Linked DNA regions of Mytilus edulis. The protein of the gene in region 1 purifies or fractionates together with the protein of each later gene. This does not show direct contact. Links are inferred from orthologs where the notes say so. Each region holds a gene or a part of one and is shown in the gene's direction. Other genes may lie near its edges.

What was found. Proteins that work in one complex are often made in the same cells at the same time.
Region 2: the proteins of CD2 antigen cytoplasmic tail-binding protein 2 homolog (region 1) and E2F-associated phosphoprotein-like purify together in Homo sapiens (affinity purification with mass spectrometry; 3 studies listed by BioGRID and IntAct, counting the BioPlex papers as one, with this or other methods). This does not show direct contact. The link is inferred for Mytilus edulis from reciprocal best matches to the Homo sapiens genes CD2BP2 and EAPP.

Annotation. Positions count from the first base shown.
Region 1 is NC_092349.1:60,053,370-60,061,399, reverse strand, and holds the start of CD2 antigen cytoplasmic tail-binding protein 2 homolog, read left to right. Parts: upstream 1-5,011; 5' UTR 5,012-5,037; coding exon 5,038-5,206; intron 5,207-8,030. Other genes in the region: SANT and BTB domain regulator of class switch recombination-like, read right to left, coding at 326-366, 1,245-1,314, 1,795-1,960, 2,251-2,403. UniProt on the Homo sapiens protein: Involved in pre-mRNA splicing as component of the U5 snRNP complex that is involved in spliceosome assembly.
Region 2 is NC_092346.1:9,474,836-9,481,972, forward strand, and holds the start of E2F-associated phosphoprotein-like, read left to right. Parts: upstream 1-4,103; 5' UTR 4,104-4,222; coding exon 4,223-4,296; intron 4,297-7,001; coding exon 7,002-7,137. UniProt on the Homo sapiens protein: May play an important role in the fine-tuning of both major E2F1 activities, the regulation of the cell-cycle and the induction of apoptosis. Promotes S-phase entry, and inhibits p14(ARP) expression.

The DNA of each region.
Region 1 (8,030 bases):
ACACTGGGATCCGCGGATTACCCTTACCAATTATTTTTTATCATACTACTTTTGCTTTTAAAAATTTCGGATATTTTCAGTTCTTTGATATCTAGAGATTTGAAGAGATTTCCCCTTTATAATATTGGTCTCTGCTTGAATACATAAACAAGCTCTGTGTAAATCTTGTCACATAATATTTATTTTACCATCAGGTTCTATTTTTAATTAGGGTTTTGCAAAAAAGAATATCATTTAATCAAAAATTTTAAAATCTATAAATGTTTGTTTCCTTCGTTCTGTTTTAAGTAATTATAACAGCCATATTGGTTGATTTACTACTTACAGCTTTTAGCTTCATCACAGACATGTATAGTCATAACAGGGCTGTAAAAGACAACAATTATTAAAAAATTATAGTCACAAAAGCTGTAGTATTCGTATTGGTTAATATTGTTTTTCATAGAAATAAAAAAAAAATCCCTTATAACTACAGAATAACATTCCTGTAAATTTAAAAATCAATGTGTACATTTAGGAACATGTTTTAAAAATGCAAATAATCAAAAGTTTACTGAAATGAAAAATTATGAATATGGCTATTAAGTTACAAATATGGCATGATAATGCACATCTAAGAACCCAAAACATATCTTGCCTAGAGAATTAAAAGTAGTTTTCATTACAACAATGCTTAGAGAATTAAAAGTAGTTTTCATTACAATAATGCTTAGAGAATTAAAAGTAGTTTTCGTTACAATAATGCTATCTGAACCAAATTAAGCATTAATATTAACAAAGCATACATTTTTATCTAGCAGCTAATAAAAGTTGGTACTTATTTATAACTTTCTTCTGAAAGCCGTTTTGAGCTAATCATATGGTGTGGACAACTAGCATTTTATGTAAACCTGAAGAAGTGTATTTTGTTTGGTTGCTGTTACATTGACACTTACTGTAGATCTGATTTATTTCTACCATATTTTGAGTTATTCATCCATTATTCAAACTTAGGCCACAATTAAAAATATTTTGGTTTGCCCAAACCCTACCCAAAGGTTGAAACAGTGGGTAGGTAGGTAGGCATTTTCTTTTTTTTTTTTCAAAAAGAGAAATTGAAGTATCGGGTGTTTATTATTCTTCATGCCTATCTGATTAAAAAAAAACTTCTTCAAATCAGGACAATAAAAGAATTTGAGTAGGCAGCTTTTTTCTGGGTAGGTAGCATTTGGGCAAACAAACCTATTTTTTTTTTATGGCCTTACCCTTGATCATCACTGTTTCGTCCACTTTGTTTACTTTTTGATTCATTTGTATCTTTGCTATCTTTATCTCCTATTAAATATAAAATATTGATCATGTAAAACAAAGCAAATTAGAGCACAGAAATTCTATATATATCATTCTAGTGTTATTATTAGTCAATATTTGATATGGTTTTGAAGTGACTGATTTGTGCTTAAAATAGCAGATCTGGTAGCAGAAATTCGGAAAAATAAAGTTGTAATGTAGGTTTTTAACAAGGAGTCTAATTTTCACGATTTATTGTGCAAAATCTGTTAGCAATTTAAAATCACATTTTTCTTGTCATTGATTCTTATTTACTTCAATCATGTTAAAGAACAAATTGATATTTCCATGATTTATCTTTTCATAAAATTAGTGAAAAATAAATTTTGGGCAAAAACTTTCCACTTTACAATACAATTATGTTTCCTGCTTATTTTTTATATTCCTTTTGGTTAAGGCAGCAAAACTGAAATAATCAATTCCTCAGCTTTTTAACACATTTGACTCTAATATATAATTGCCCACCTTTCTGTGATGCAGATCCTGGTAAACTACCTCCAGTTTTACTGCTAAGATCAGATTCTGTCAGACTGACTTGAGATGAAGCTCCAGGAATGGTGTAATTTTTCTCAAACTGATTCATAGCATATACATCCCCTGTCAGCAATAACTCTTCATATCGTCTTGCAACCTGAATTGAATTTAAACCAATGAAAAATAACATAACAAATGTTTTAGTGAACAAATTCCAATATTTTCATCTGAGTTTGTACCTGGTTACAGCTAACTATAATAAGAAAAGACTGTCTGTGGAATGAAAAATCTTAAGTTTTTACTGCTGTGAATTAATTCTTTTTTGTTAGGATTTAAATCCACAGTATCTTCAATAGTGTTGCAAGTTATAAAAGCTTTTGTATTCATATCTGGAGAGATGACAATTATTTCCTATACACATGTACACATGTATCTGAAAAGTACTACCTGTCCAGGAGAAGATCCAGGTATAAGCCTTGCAATAGCTTCCCAATTCTTTGTCTGTAACTCATTAAAATCTTGTGATGATATCAGTGTTTTAAGGATAAGGTCAAGGGCAACTCCCACACGAGATGTTGGTTCCAAGACATTCATTATCATTCTCTAATCTATAAAAGAAAAATTATAAAATTGAATACTAGGTTTGAAACATTTACAATGTAAAGCAGGAATCACCAGACTATTTAAGGATTGTGCTCCTCCACTCCTTTAATATTCAAACACCATTCTTGCATAGCTAGCACAACTTCTGATTTTCTCAGCACAATTAAGAGAGTATAATGGAGAAGGATGATGAAATTTTTTTTTTTTAGTAACTATGATAAGTTTTTAATATTTATCATTAAGAGTTTAAGAATTATACATTTCCGTGAATGCACAATGTAAACACACAAAAACATCCATGTAAATTTTACACCATAATGTATTGCATAAAAGGTATAAAAATTTTCAACACCAAAAATGATCATTAAGAATGACAGATTGTTTTGTTTGAAGAATGTAGTATGACCAGCTGGGCTAAAGACCTGAAAAGACCTGAAGATATATGACTCAAGTTATTCAAATTGCAATAACTTTTTTATAATTTAATGGATTTTCATCAAGTTAAAATTTTATAAAATGTTAATATCCATATTTCATTAAAATTAAAATGTTATAAATAAAAAACAATTTTTGATGTTAAAAGTTGGACCTAAACAGAGAAATGAAAAGACCTGAACAGACCTGAAAATATATGGTTGAACTTGTTCTAACTTCAATAACTTTTTTAATATTCAATGGATAGCTTTCAACTTTAGATTTCTGTAGTTTTATTTCAGACAATTTGCAAGGTTTGTTTTGTTTTACTTGTGTTTTTGTTTTATGATTCTTTTTGATTCTGGTCAATAATTTCTTGCTTAACAATATATGACTTATTAAAGTCATATTTTGTCTTGCTTTAAAGGGAGACAAATCCTATATATAGCTAAAACTTACAAATTTAGACCTCTACAAGTCAAAAGCAGATTCAGACTTATTTATGTCTGAGCTCTGACTGATTAATATGTCAGTTCATGTGAAATATTCTTTAAATCAATCATGTTGTCAGTATTAAAGAGTTTAGCAGTAATTCGGTACTGATTTTTATTGTATGTTTTTATGAACCTATATTAACAGTCAGAGTTCAGACATAAACAAGTCGATTTTTCTTTTGGACTTAAAGAAGTCAAAACATGTATTTATTATAAAAATGTGTTTTCAATTTTAGACTTATCTAAGTCAGAAAATGACAGACTTGTTTAGGTCTATTTATGTTGATGAAAAAACTTAATTTTACTTGCAAATTGGTGGCCAAAAGTACACCACCTATGACTGCAAAAACCTGTCGGAAAGTTCACAAGGACTTTAGCTATCTATATTTAAGAATCTTATTGAACATCCTTACTAAACACAGATGTTTTACCTCATTAACTGTGGTTCCAGATGGTTGCATTGTAAGTTTAATTAACATTATCTCTGATTTTTTAGACTCTCATTCATATTTTTCTTTAGAAGACAAAGCCTTGTCTTTCAATGTTGCCATTATTTGATTTAGATGTATGACCTGTTTATAAATATGCATGGGTCTTGCAGTTAACCAATTTTAATAGGGGGCAGATTTTCACAATGGAGGTACAAATGGTGTGAAAAATACGGGAAAACATCATTAAAACAGAGCAATTGCTTGGAAACATGCATAGGATTTCCCATACTTTCATACTATTTCCACCTCTTTCCAAAAAATCTGCCCCCTATCAAATATGGCCGAACTAACCGTGAAGAGCCCTATATTTGCAACTTTTTGATTCTGATCAATACTTCTTGCTTAACAATATATGACTTATTAAAGTCGTATTTTGTCTTGCTTTAAAGGGAGACAAATCCTAAAACTTACAAATTTAGACCTCTATGAGTCAAAAGCAGATTCAGACTTATTTATGTCTGAGCTCTGACTTATTAATATGTCAGTTCATGTGATATATTCAATATGATCAAGAGACAAGATAAAATAAAGAGAGAGCGCAAGCTGATAAAACTGATGTATAATTCCAGCAATGGAAAACAAATAGTGATAAGGAGTGTACTTAGTATAAGGGCTTGATAAAATCTGTGTCAGTTCTGTTCCTAGGGTATGACTTTGTAGGGGCACAAAGTTTCCATAGAACTATCATTTGACTATTGGACGCTGCAAAAATTTTAACTATTGATTAATACTACTAGAAGAGTCAAATACTTAAAAGGTCTTCATGCATAAGCCTCACGGTCAATGCATCAATATATTTTTATTTATTGAAATAATTTCCCAGACCCACTTGGATTTTTTTAAAACGTTTGCCTAAATCAATGTACAAACTGTAGACACTTGATTTGTCTTTAAGATTTATCCTCAATAAATACATTTGACTAGTATTTATTACGTGAAAACGCCTTTAATGGGATGAAGTGTCCTAAAAACGACCGTTCTACTCCAGTAACCAAGTGCGTTCTGCCATTTTTAAACAATTCGAAATTTTATTGATCACAATGGATAAAACGAATCAAAATTTATTTGATCTTTTTCGTTAATTCTTTTAAGAATGAGATTGAAAATATAAAAAAGATAAAGTTTAGAGTCGAAAATTATGTACCTTTCCGTTTATATATGAATAAACAATCATATTTTCAATATGACTAAGTTCGTTTTCTCTGAAAATCCAGAATCTGAAAATTCTAAAAATGTCGAAACGAAAACGATTTGAACAAGACCGCGAAGAGGATTTGAGAGATTTCGAAGATTTAGACGACGAAGCAGCCCGGAGATTCAAAGATAAACATTCCTTAGATAGTGACGAAGAAGATGAAAACACTGGAAAATATGACATATTGGATGAAGATGATATTGAAGGTTTGCAAGCAACTCGGAATGACATTCGTATCTATCGGACTTGTCCCTGTCTTGTTTTTATCAAGATCTTCTTCTTCTTCTTCTTCCAATAATTTGCATACCACCTCTGGTGTATTATCGCAAATGACTATTTACACAAATCCGGTTAAAAGCCATCGTGGTGTTATATACAATTAAAACTGAAATATCTTACATGAAGCAGGTGTCTGGAGGCTGTCTTTGAATCCTGCCAAAGTGGAAGCTGTGACGACAGCAGATCATCATGCCAGATGGTAGTTCATTCCACTGACGAATTGAAGGGGGTCTCATTGAGGGGTTCTGATCCCGCTTACTGTTTTGTCAGATTCCTGTATCCCGCTTACACTATGTACCTAAGCAATTCTCATTTTTTTGTAATTTTCCGTGTCCCGCTAGACCTTAATTCCCGTTTTCACGGCACAATAATTTGACTTTCCCGTTTCACGCTCAGGGCCGTAACTAGGGTTCCAATTCAGGGGAGGCAGGGGTTTGGGCCCGCCGATTGAGGCCCCTAAGAGAGGGGGTTTGGGGGGGCACAGCCCCTCGCCAAATTTTTTCTCAGTATAATGACTAAAAATGACCCGTTTTCCTTCTATTTCCTTTCATTAAGAAACATCAGTATTGCTTGAACCAGGACGCAATTTTTATGCAAAAACAAGCTGAGATTGCTGTTCGGGGTGAGCCAAGGCCCCGTCTTGAAGGCCGTACTTTGACCTATAATTATTAACATTATATACATTGTGACCGCAGATTTTTTTCTCAATAAACTTGAATCAGTGGCTAAAAATGACCCGTTTTCCTTCGATTTCCTTACTTTAAGAAACATCAGTATTGCTGGATCCTGGAAGCAATTTTTATGCAATCAATTATCATCTGTATTTAAAGATATTTTTGTTAGAAATCAAACTGGTAAGTAAAAAAAACATATCAATCGATATCATAGAACGCAAGATATCTTTTTTATCGAGGACCTTGAATTTCAATATTGTTGAAAGCTAAACAGACATGTATATAACTATAACCAGTGACTTTGAAAGTTTTTATACTAGTATATACTTACAAGTTAGTATAGAAAGTCCCTGCTACAACGAATGGGAGTGTTTAACTACTAAGGCATTAGTCCGAGATTACTATCAAAAATCCGGAAAATGACATATATCACGAATCATGAGAACACTGTTAAAACTATAAACTTAGGTTGTTTATAATATAAATTCAAGTTCTTCGTGTACATATTGTCAATATTTCATTTTATTACTTGAAAAAAAAATTGGTGTAGAGAATTCAGGGGAGGCGAGGCAGTTGCCTCCCCTGCCTCTTAGGTAGTTACGGCCCTGACGCTTACGAAAAAAGCGGCAATCCCGCGTCACGCTAAGACCCCAATGAGACCCACATTGAAGATGGAAAAAATGATTGCTGGTGGTTTTGATCATAGCACTATTTTCAGTCTTGATACATATTTCAGATATACATTTTTGAAAAAGCACCAAAAATATGCATAAATATTAATAATGACTGTTCCGTAGTACCACACTTTTCTAACATGTCTAAGTGTGATGAAAACGGGTTGCACTAATGACAGGATGACTGACCGGCTAGTGACAGGACGGTTGACCGGATGAGACAAAAATAGTCATAAGTTTTTTGTTATTTGGTAGATTTTTTAAATATTTACAGACTTTAAAGATATCAAACTATATTTTATGAAAACAAAACAAACCAGATGCTCCGCAGGGCGCAGCTTTATACGACCGCAGAGGTTGAACATTGAATGGTTGGGGCAAGTATGGACACAACATTCAAGCTGGATTCAGCTCTAAATTTGGATTGTGATGAAATAGTTGACACAGCATAGGTTTCTGCATTGTTCTTACACAGAATGAATGTGGTCTAATGAACTTAAAATATTTTTTTTGCCTTTGAGCAATTCACTATGCTGTTGAATATTAATCCTCTCAAAAAAATGTTTGAAGAAATTTTCTTTTTATTTATGACATCTGAAATGAGAAAAATTTACCCCCCCCCCTTTTTTTTCACATCCCCCTTTCCCTTTTTCTAAAACTGATCTCAATTCAAATTTCTAATGGAGTTTGCAACAATAACTACTCATTTAAATACATCATAAAATATTAAAATGTAAAATAAAGTGGTTGTTATCACTGAATGGTAAAGATTGTTTTAATTTATCAGTTGGTAGTAAAAGTGAATATACATTATATATTGTATAAAACAATAATTTAACTTGATTCAACTACTATTCTGGACAAAGGAAGATAACTTCAATTCAAAATTTCTTGCTATTGCACAATATTGTGCAATTAGATATTTCTTGCTATTGCGCAATACTGTGCAATTGAAAATATTTGCTATTGCACAATACTGTGAAATTGAAGATTTCTTGCTATTGCGCAATACTGTGCAATTGAAAATTTCTTGTAATTGCACAATACTGTGCAATTGAAGATTTCTTGCTATTGCTGAATACTGTGCAATTGAAAATTTCTTGCTATTGTACAATACTTAATATAATAATTTTGGATCCTGATTTGAACCAACTTGAAAACTGGGCCCATAATCAAAAATCTAAGTACATGTTTAGATTCAGCATATCAAAAAAGTCCAAGAATTCAATTTTTGTTAAAATCAAACTTAGTTTAATTTTGGACCCTTTTGACTTTAATGTAGACCAATTTGAAAACGGGACCAAAAATTAAGAATCTACATACACAGTAAGATTTGGCGTATCAAAGAACCCCAATTATTCAATTTTTGATGAAATCAAACGTTTAATTTTGGACCCTGATTT
Region 2 (7,137 bases), on another chromosome or scaffold:
AGGTTCCAGCAATACTTATGTTTTTTTAGAGTAAGGAAATCGAAGGACATTTTACTTGGAGAAAAAAAAACCTGCCTCCCCTGAATTTGAACCCTAGTTACGGCCCTGTTTTGAATGGCCCTTATCGGCTTCCGTACAATGCTAAGGTTGTCGTATAATGATAAAGCGATGTCTTTTCCATCACTTTGAAATTCATTCTGTTTCAACAGATATTCGTGGCGTGTTGTTTGTCAGTTGCCATGAAATTTCTTATTCATAATGAAACTGAGTAATAGAATAAATTAACAATCGAAGGATTTTAACATTCTTACCATGACCATTGTTATTCTTCTTTAGTTACGGAATACCATCAACTTTTTGAGGATTACCGGATTTTGTTACAGCATATATTATTGAGTATAACAAAATCAACGATATATGTATTTTGATAGATTGAGAAAGGACTTTGCACAGGGAGGTAAAATGTCTAATATCTGGGACACTTGGTTAGAATTATTGATACGTGAAAATACATAGTTTTTATTTGCTCAAACACATTTGCATAAAATGGCTATGATATGATAAAAATACAAATAATACAACAGACCATTTCATAATTATGAGAGATTTTAAACCATCATACAAGATTTTTTAAAATCATATGCGGACTTAGGCGGTAGTCATAGGGTACCCGGCACCCGTTATGAAGTTATATATATATGGTAAATGCATAGACTGTTCCATTCCTAACGTTGAGGCTCCTTAACCCGTTTTTCAAAATTCTGGATCCGCACCATTCAAAATTTAATACTTTTATACGATCGCAAACTTCTCGAGGTCGTGTAATGTTATGACGGTTTCGTCCGGTCGTCGTCGTCAAAACACTTGGTTCCATACAATAACTTAAGAATAAGTCTTTGGATCTCTATGAAATTGTTGCACAAGGTTTCATGCCACAAAAGGAAGGTTGGGATTGATTTTGGGGTTATATTCCTAACCGTTTAGATCGAAATGACGAGCCCAAAAACTTTTCTATACTTTGTTTAATTTGTTTAATTTTTTTCTACATCAATTTCATTGTGGTTTAATTCAAAGTCTTAAATTCTTGGGGTTCTTTAATATGCTGTATCTGACCGTGTATTTAGATTTTGGTTCCCGTTTTTAGATGGTCCCCATTGAGTTTCAAGAGTCCAGAATTAAACTTCTAAGACCACATTTATTATGTGTCAGAAACTTGTTAGCTTTTTGAAACCTTAAGCTGTTCCCGTGTTTCGATAAACCTGAAGATTATAAATGGCATTTTCTCAAAATAAAATATATTTAGAAATTTATTGGAACGGAGGTGGAAATATCATCCATGTCCCAGCGAGCTGAAACGTGTATATACGCTTAATGTGTCCACTTACCCCATTCTCCCCTATAGAGGTATTTCATCAACTTAAGAACAATAAAAAGAGATCAAAGATTTCCAATTTTGCAATTATTTTTCTACAATACGAGGTACCAAGGTAACATCACTATCCAAAAATGAAAATTAACAATAAGGAACGAAAAATCGCCAATTTGTCGTAAATTTTTGGGAAGAAATTCCCGTGAAAAAATGAAATATCTAAATCTAAGAAAGGACAGTACTTATTTTTTATGTTTGATTTATTTTGAGTAATTTCACTTGGGTAAATTGTCTGCAGTATATTTAGAAATTTCTTGCCGATGATTATTTAGATAAAAAAATATCAACTACATAGTGAAGAATCGTCATCTTTTATAAAAACAAATGAAATTATTTTATTCCTTTTAACACTTTAACAAATTATAAAATAGGAGTTAGTTACAGTTTGGCAGGTGGAACTATGATAACACATAAAAGAGGGACGAAAGATACCAGAGGGACAGTCAAACTCATAAATCGAAAATAAACTGACAACGCCATGGCTAAAAATGAAAAAGACAAACAGACAATTAAACAATAGTACACATGACACAACATAGAAAACTAAAGAATAATATGTAGCACTTTCGCTGTTGAATGAAGCAAATACTACGTGCAAGCATTCATTTAACAATATAAAAGTTTTACGGAATGGGTTGTTGTCTCTTTGACACATTAACCATTTCCATTCTCAATTATATATATATATATATATATATTTGAAAAATATAAAACAGAAAATGACAAAGAATCACATGCCAAAAACAGCTGATAGCGCTTTCAGTTTATTTTACATCGACTATAAGAAATTGGTAACTGAATGCTGAAAAATGTCGCTTATCGTAACAAATAAATTTCCGTTTTCAAAAACAACTGAGCGTCCTGATGATATAAGTTTAACAGGTGCTCTTTTGTATATTTTTTTAACTAAAAAGCTCGATAAAAATTATTAACAAAAATATAAAAGCTTGCTATATAAACTAGCCAAAAATAAGTTTTATTCTCCAAATGAAGGCAGCAGTAGTATACCGCTGTTCGAAACTCATAAATCGATTGAGAAAAAAAAACCAAATCCGGGTTACAAACTAAAACTGAGGGAAACGCATCAAATATAGGAGGAAAACAACGACACAACATTAAAATGTTACACACACAGAAACGAACTATAATGGCCATTTTCCTGACTTGGTACAGGACATTTTAAGAAAAAAAATGGTGGGTTGAACCAGGTTTTGTGTCATGCGAAACCTTCCGTTTTTATGGCAATGTTAAATATAACAAGAAAATGACAACATTACACTGACAGGAATACAATGCAAATAAATGTATCTTGTTTCGAAATGAAAAAAAAATGTACTCTATGTTAAAATCCACATTGGAGAAGTTTTATGAAATATAAGCTGCATGAAATCATCATAATGGCATTGACAGACTTGATGCAAACAAATTAACAGGTATTATTGTTCGGTGTCCTAACTGGGACTATTATACTGATACTAGAACACACCCGTGATATCACGGGTCCGTGACTTAATTAAAGTATATAACTATGCGCAAGCCTTATTTTAGTATTAGTATTGTCATCTGATAAAGTCATTCCGATTATAAGATACACAGTTTTTCTCTGCTTTCAAGTCTTTCTGTTTGAACCCGTCGAACTGAAACAATAATATTAATTATTTGGAAAACAAAAGGTCCTGGAATGGAGTATTTTTTAATCAACAGCATTGTCCTATATAAGTTATAAATAAAGTTGAATTCTTTGCTTCGCTGTTTTACGTCATACCCACTAACAAATTGAAAACTGTACCTATACGCCTTATTTTTAGTCCAGATTTTTAGTATTCGTATTGTTATCTTAGAAAGTCTTACTGATTAAAATAATACAATAGGTAACAATTTGACAATTTAGTAGTGTCAACCCTGTGGTTATGACCCGTGTATATAGCATATTAATCCTGAATACAACGTTTGGTGGTGCGCCTGTCAGATGCGGAACGTACAGATAAGGTAATAGGTAACAGGTGAATATATTATTGGTATCGGTAGCGGACTCGACCCGGAACTTCTTAATTATTGGCAATATTAATTACGTGGAAAACAAAAGGGCCTGGAGTGGTGTAATTTTTAATCTACACCTTTGTACTATATTAGTTATATATAAAGTTGAATTCTGTGATTCGTCGTTTTTACGTGATGACGGCTGACAAATTGGACCTCGTAATTTTAGTATTATAGATACTATATATCTCAGATTCAGAACAGACAGAACTCAGGTTCAGAATATATCCATGTGTATTTGTTTTCTTTATTTTTTTAACATAATTATTATTTTACTATTGCGGAAGTCTATGTTCTGATGTTTAAACAAAATTTAATGAAAAATAAAACCGTTCAGTGTAATTCAACTCATATAAAAGTAATAATTAATCAGGGGTCAATAATGTATTTCTCAGTTTTTTCTATGATAGTTGGACTGAAATGACTTTTTGTCTAGTTTTAACATTTTTTATAATATCGTCTAGCTATCTTTTTTTTAATTTGTCATTAGGCATGAGTCATCAATGATACTCATCGTCGTCTCAATGTGCTATCAAAATTATTTATTTCGGAAAGCAAAAAACAGTCCGCATCTGTGAACGTATTACTTTATTTTTGTGGGAATCACTTAGGCGTTTATAGTGGAGTGAAAATACGTTTACACATGAATTAACAGATTTACATTGAAGATACGATTTTGGGAAACAAATTGTATTTTGATTTTGCAGAAAAAAACAGAAATTGAAGAAAAGTTGTTATTGATATTGATTTGAAATGAATAGAATTACTGATAGGGACTACGACTACTATGACTTTGAAGATGACAGTGACCAAGAGCCTTGCGATAGGTAACGTAACGGTACCCAAATTGCACCGAGTACCCAAATTGCACCTACATGTATTTATCAAAAATAGCAGCGAAAATCTAACAAGATTTCCTAGAGACTAAAAAAATGGTATTTTTATGATTTGATACTATGCACGTCTTTCAACATAGGTAAAAATATTTAGATATACACAAAACGTTCACAATATTTATCAACAGATGAAGTGTTTACTGAAAAAGCAAAATGTACTGAAACGTCGCCATGCGACGTCATCAAAACGTCATCTTTTTAAAATTAACAAATACAATACGTTTCAAGTATCCATTTCTTAAAATATGAAGAGTAAGCATGGACAAATATCCAATTGTTCAAAATATTTGAAAAAAATAAACAAAAGCTCTGTTATTCGACTTTTGACGATGCGAATTTAAGCATGGATGCAATTTGGGTACTCCTCATTACAGAATCTGGGATGGTTTGGAGGTAAGTTCAGACCAATTTTTCTATGATTCCATATGGAATAAAAATCAAATTGGTGTACCTTTATAATAAAGAAGGATAGGGCTACAAAATTAACACAGAATGGACATTTTCGTCTTCATCATAAAAAAACGTAGATGAAAAAACTGTCAAAATAGGTGCAATTTGGGTACCGTCACGTTACTATCATACAGACATACGTAGTTAAAAATAAAAACTGTTATTTACAAATTACATATATACAATGTAAAATGATATATGTTCAGATTTCTACTTCACATTGGGGAAAATAGGAAATGAATTGATATATCAAAACATTAAACTATATCCCCCTTTGCAAGAACAAAAATGTATCACAAATAATTTATGTCAATGTATACAGAATGTTTTGGACGGCCCATACATACATCCTATACATACGTCCTAGGCTTCTTCTTCTTCCAAGTACATGTAATGAACCAGATTCAATAACTGAATGTATTAGGTCCAGCGAAAACTTTGCACAGTAGTTTTTTGTCTGGCCATACCAGTCACATTCTAGTTAAATTAGATTATTCCTATCATCATTGTTACTGTTCTTTAGCTGATAAAAAGAGTCCTCATCATTTCAAATCTGACTGATTAAACATGTTAAAGTTTTCTCATTGGCAATCATACCACACCTTATTTGTTTATTGTCCATTTCTGGACGAGAAATCGCCTTCTGTTTTCATTCATTCCTTGTAAAGAATAAATCATGTGATCAGCCAATGGTTATGTGATAAAATCACAGGTAATTGAAATTTGCTTTCCTTTTTTTCATATGTTTCAAGCACATATTTTTATGTCAATAGATTTTATTTCATATTTCCAAATTCTGACTAGGTAATATATACATGTAATAGTTGAACAGGCTACATGTACCTACTCTGTGGTAGTCTGTATTTGTCAAGTACAAATGTAAGAGCAACCAAAAGAAGCAAAAATCAATCGTACAATGGGTGCAAGTTAGGTAATCATCACTATTATGTTTCCTATACACAACAAAATTATTATAAATACACAATGTAGCAGGTCATGACTTTGTACCGACAGATTAGAATGTGACAGGGTTAAACAAGTGTGGATGTGCCAAACCCTCCTCTCACCTTGGACATGTTGGATAATGGTGTGACAACACAAGAGCAGTAAAAATCGGTTGAAAATGTCTGGACTCATGATCATCATATTGACACAAAACACACAAAAAAAACTTATAAAAGGACTGTTCTAAGAGTTCTTGCAGTTTCTGAAAGCTTGCATCTTCAAAGCCAATAACAATTAATTTTAAAAAGAAATTATGTGTTAAAGACTAAACCATCAATCACACACATCGATAAAGTGTAAAGATTTAGTCCAGAAGGTTTATGGTTCTCACCTTCACTTATAAAAACTGACCACAAGGCAATAGTGCTTAAAGTTTGACCACGGGTTCTTATTTGTTTAAACATCAACCAATCAGTCATCAATTAGTCAAAGTAAGACAAAACATGATCTTGGTCAATGCCATATAGAAGTATGATATATTATATATAGATCTATGTTAGACCTTCATGTACAATGTATCCTTTTACAATGTATGCCTTTGTTGGCATGACATGGGTTATGTTCTTCTCATATATGTTATGATGGTATGATACTAAACCCCTAACGGGAAGGATTGTGCCTGATGTTCATATGATGAAATCATAATCTTTCAGTCAGTTTAATTGAAGTCTGGAGCTGGCATGTCAGTTAACTGCTAGTAGTCTGTTGTTATTTATGTATTATTGTCATTTTGTTTATTTTCTTTGGTTACATCTTCTGACATCAGACTCGGACTTCTCTTGAACTGAATTTTAATGTGCATATTGTTATGCGTTTACTTTTCTACATTGGCTAGAGGTATAGGGGGAGGGTTGAGATCTCACAAACATGTTTAACCCGCCGCATTTTTGCGCCTGTCCCAAGTCAGGAGCCTCTGGCCTTTGTTAGTCTTGTATTATTTTAATTTTAGTTTCTTGTGTACAATTTGGAAATTAGTATGGCGTTCATTATCACTGAACTAGTATATATTTGTTTAGGGGCCAGTTGAAGGACGCCTATGGGTGCAGGAATTTCTCGCTACATTGAAGACCTGTTGGTGACCTTCTGCTGTTGTTTTTTTCTATGGTTGGGTTGTTGTCTCTTTGGCACATTCCCCATTTCCATTCTCAATTTTATTTAAAAATTATTTATTTTCTCACTAGTTCTGATGATGATATCGAGGTTATTTTATATGGAACACCTGAACAGAAGCGTAAATTACAGACCAAAGTCCAACAAAGACATGATTCTTCAAGTGAAGATGACTTTGAAAAGGAAATGAATAATGAACTTAACAAA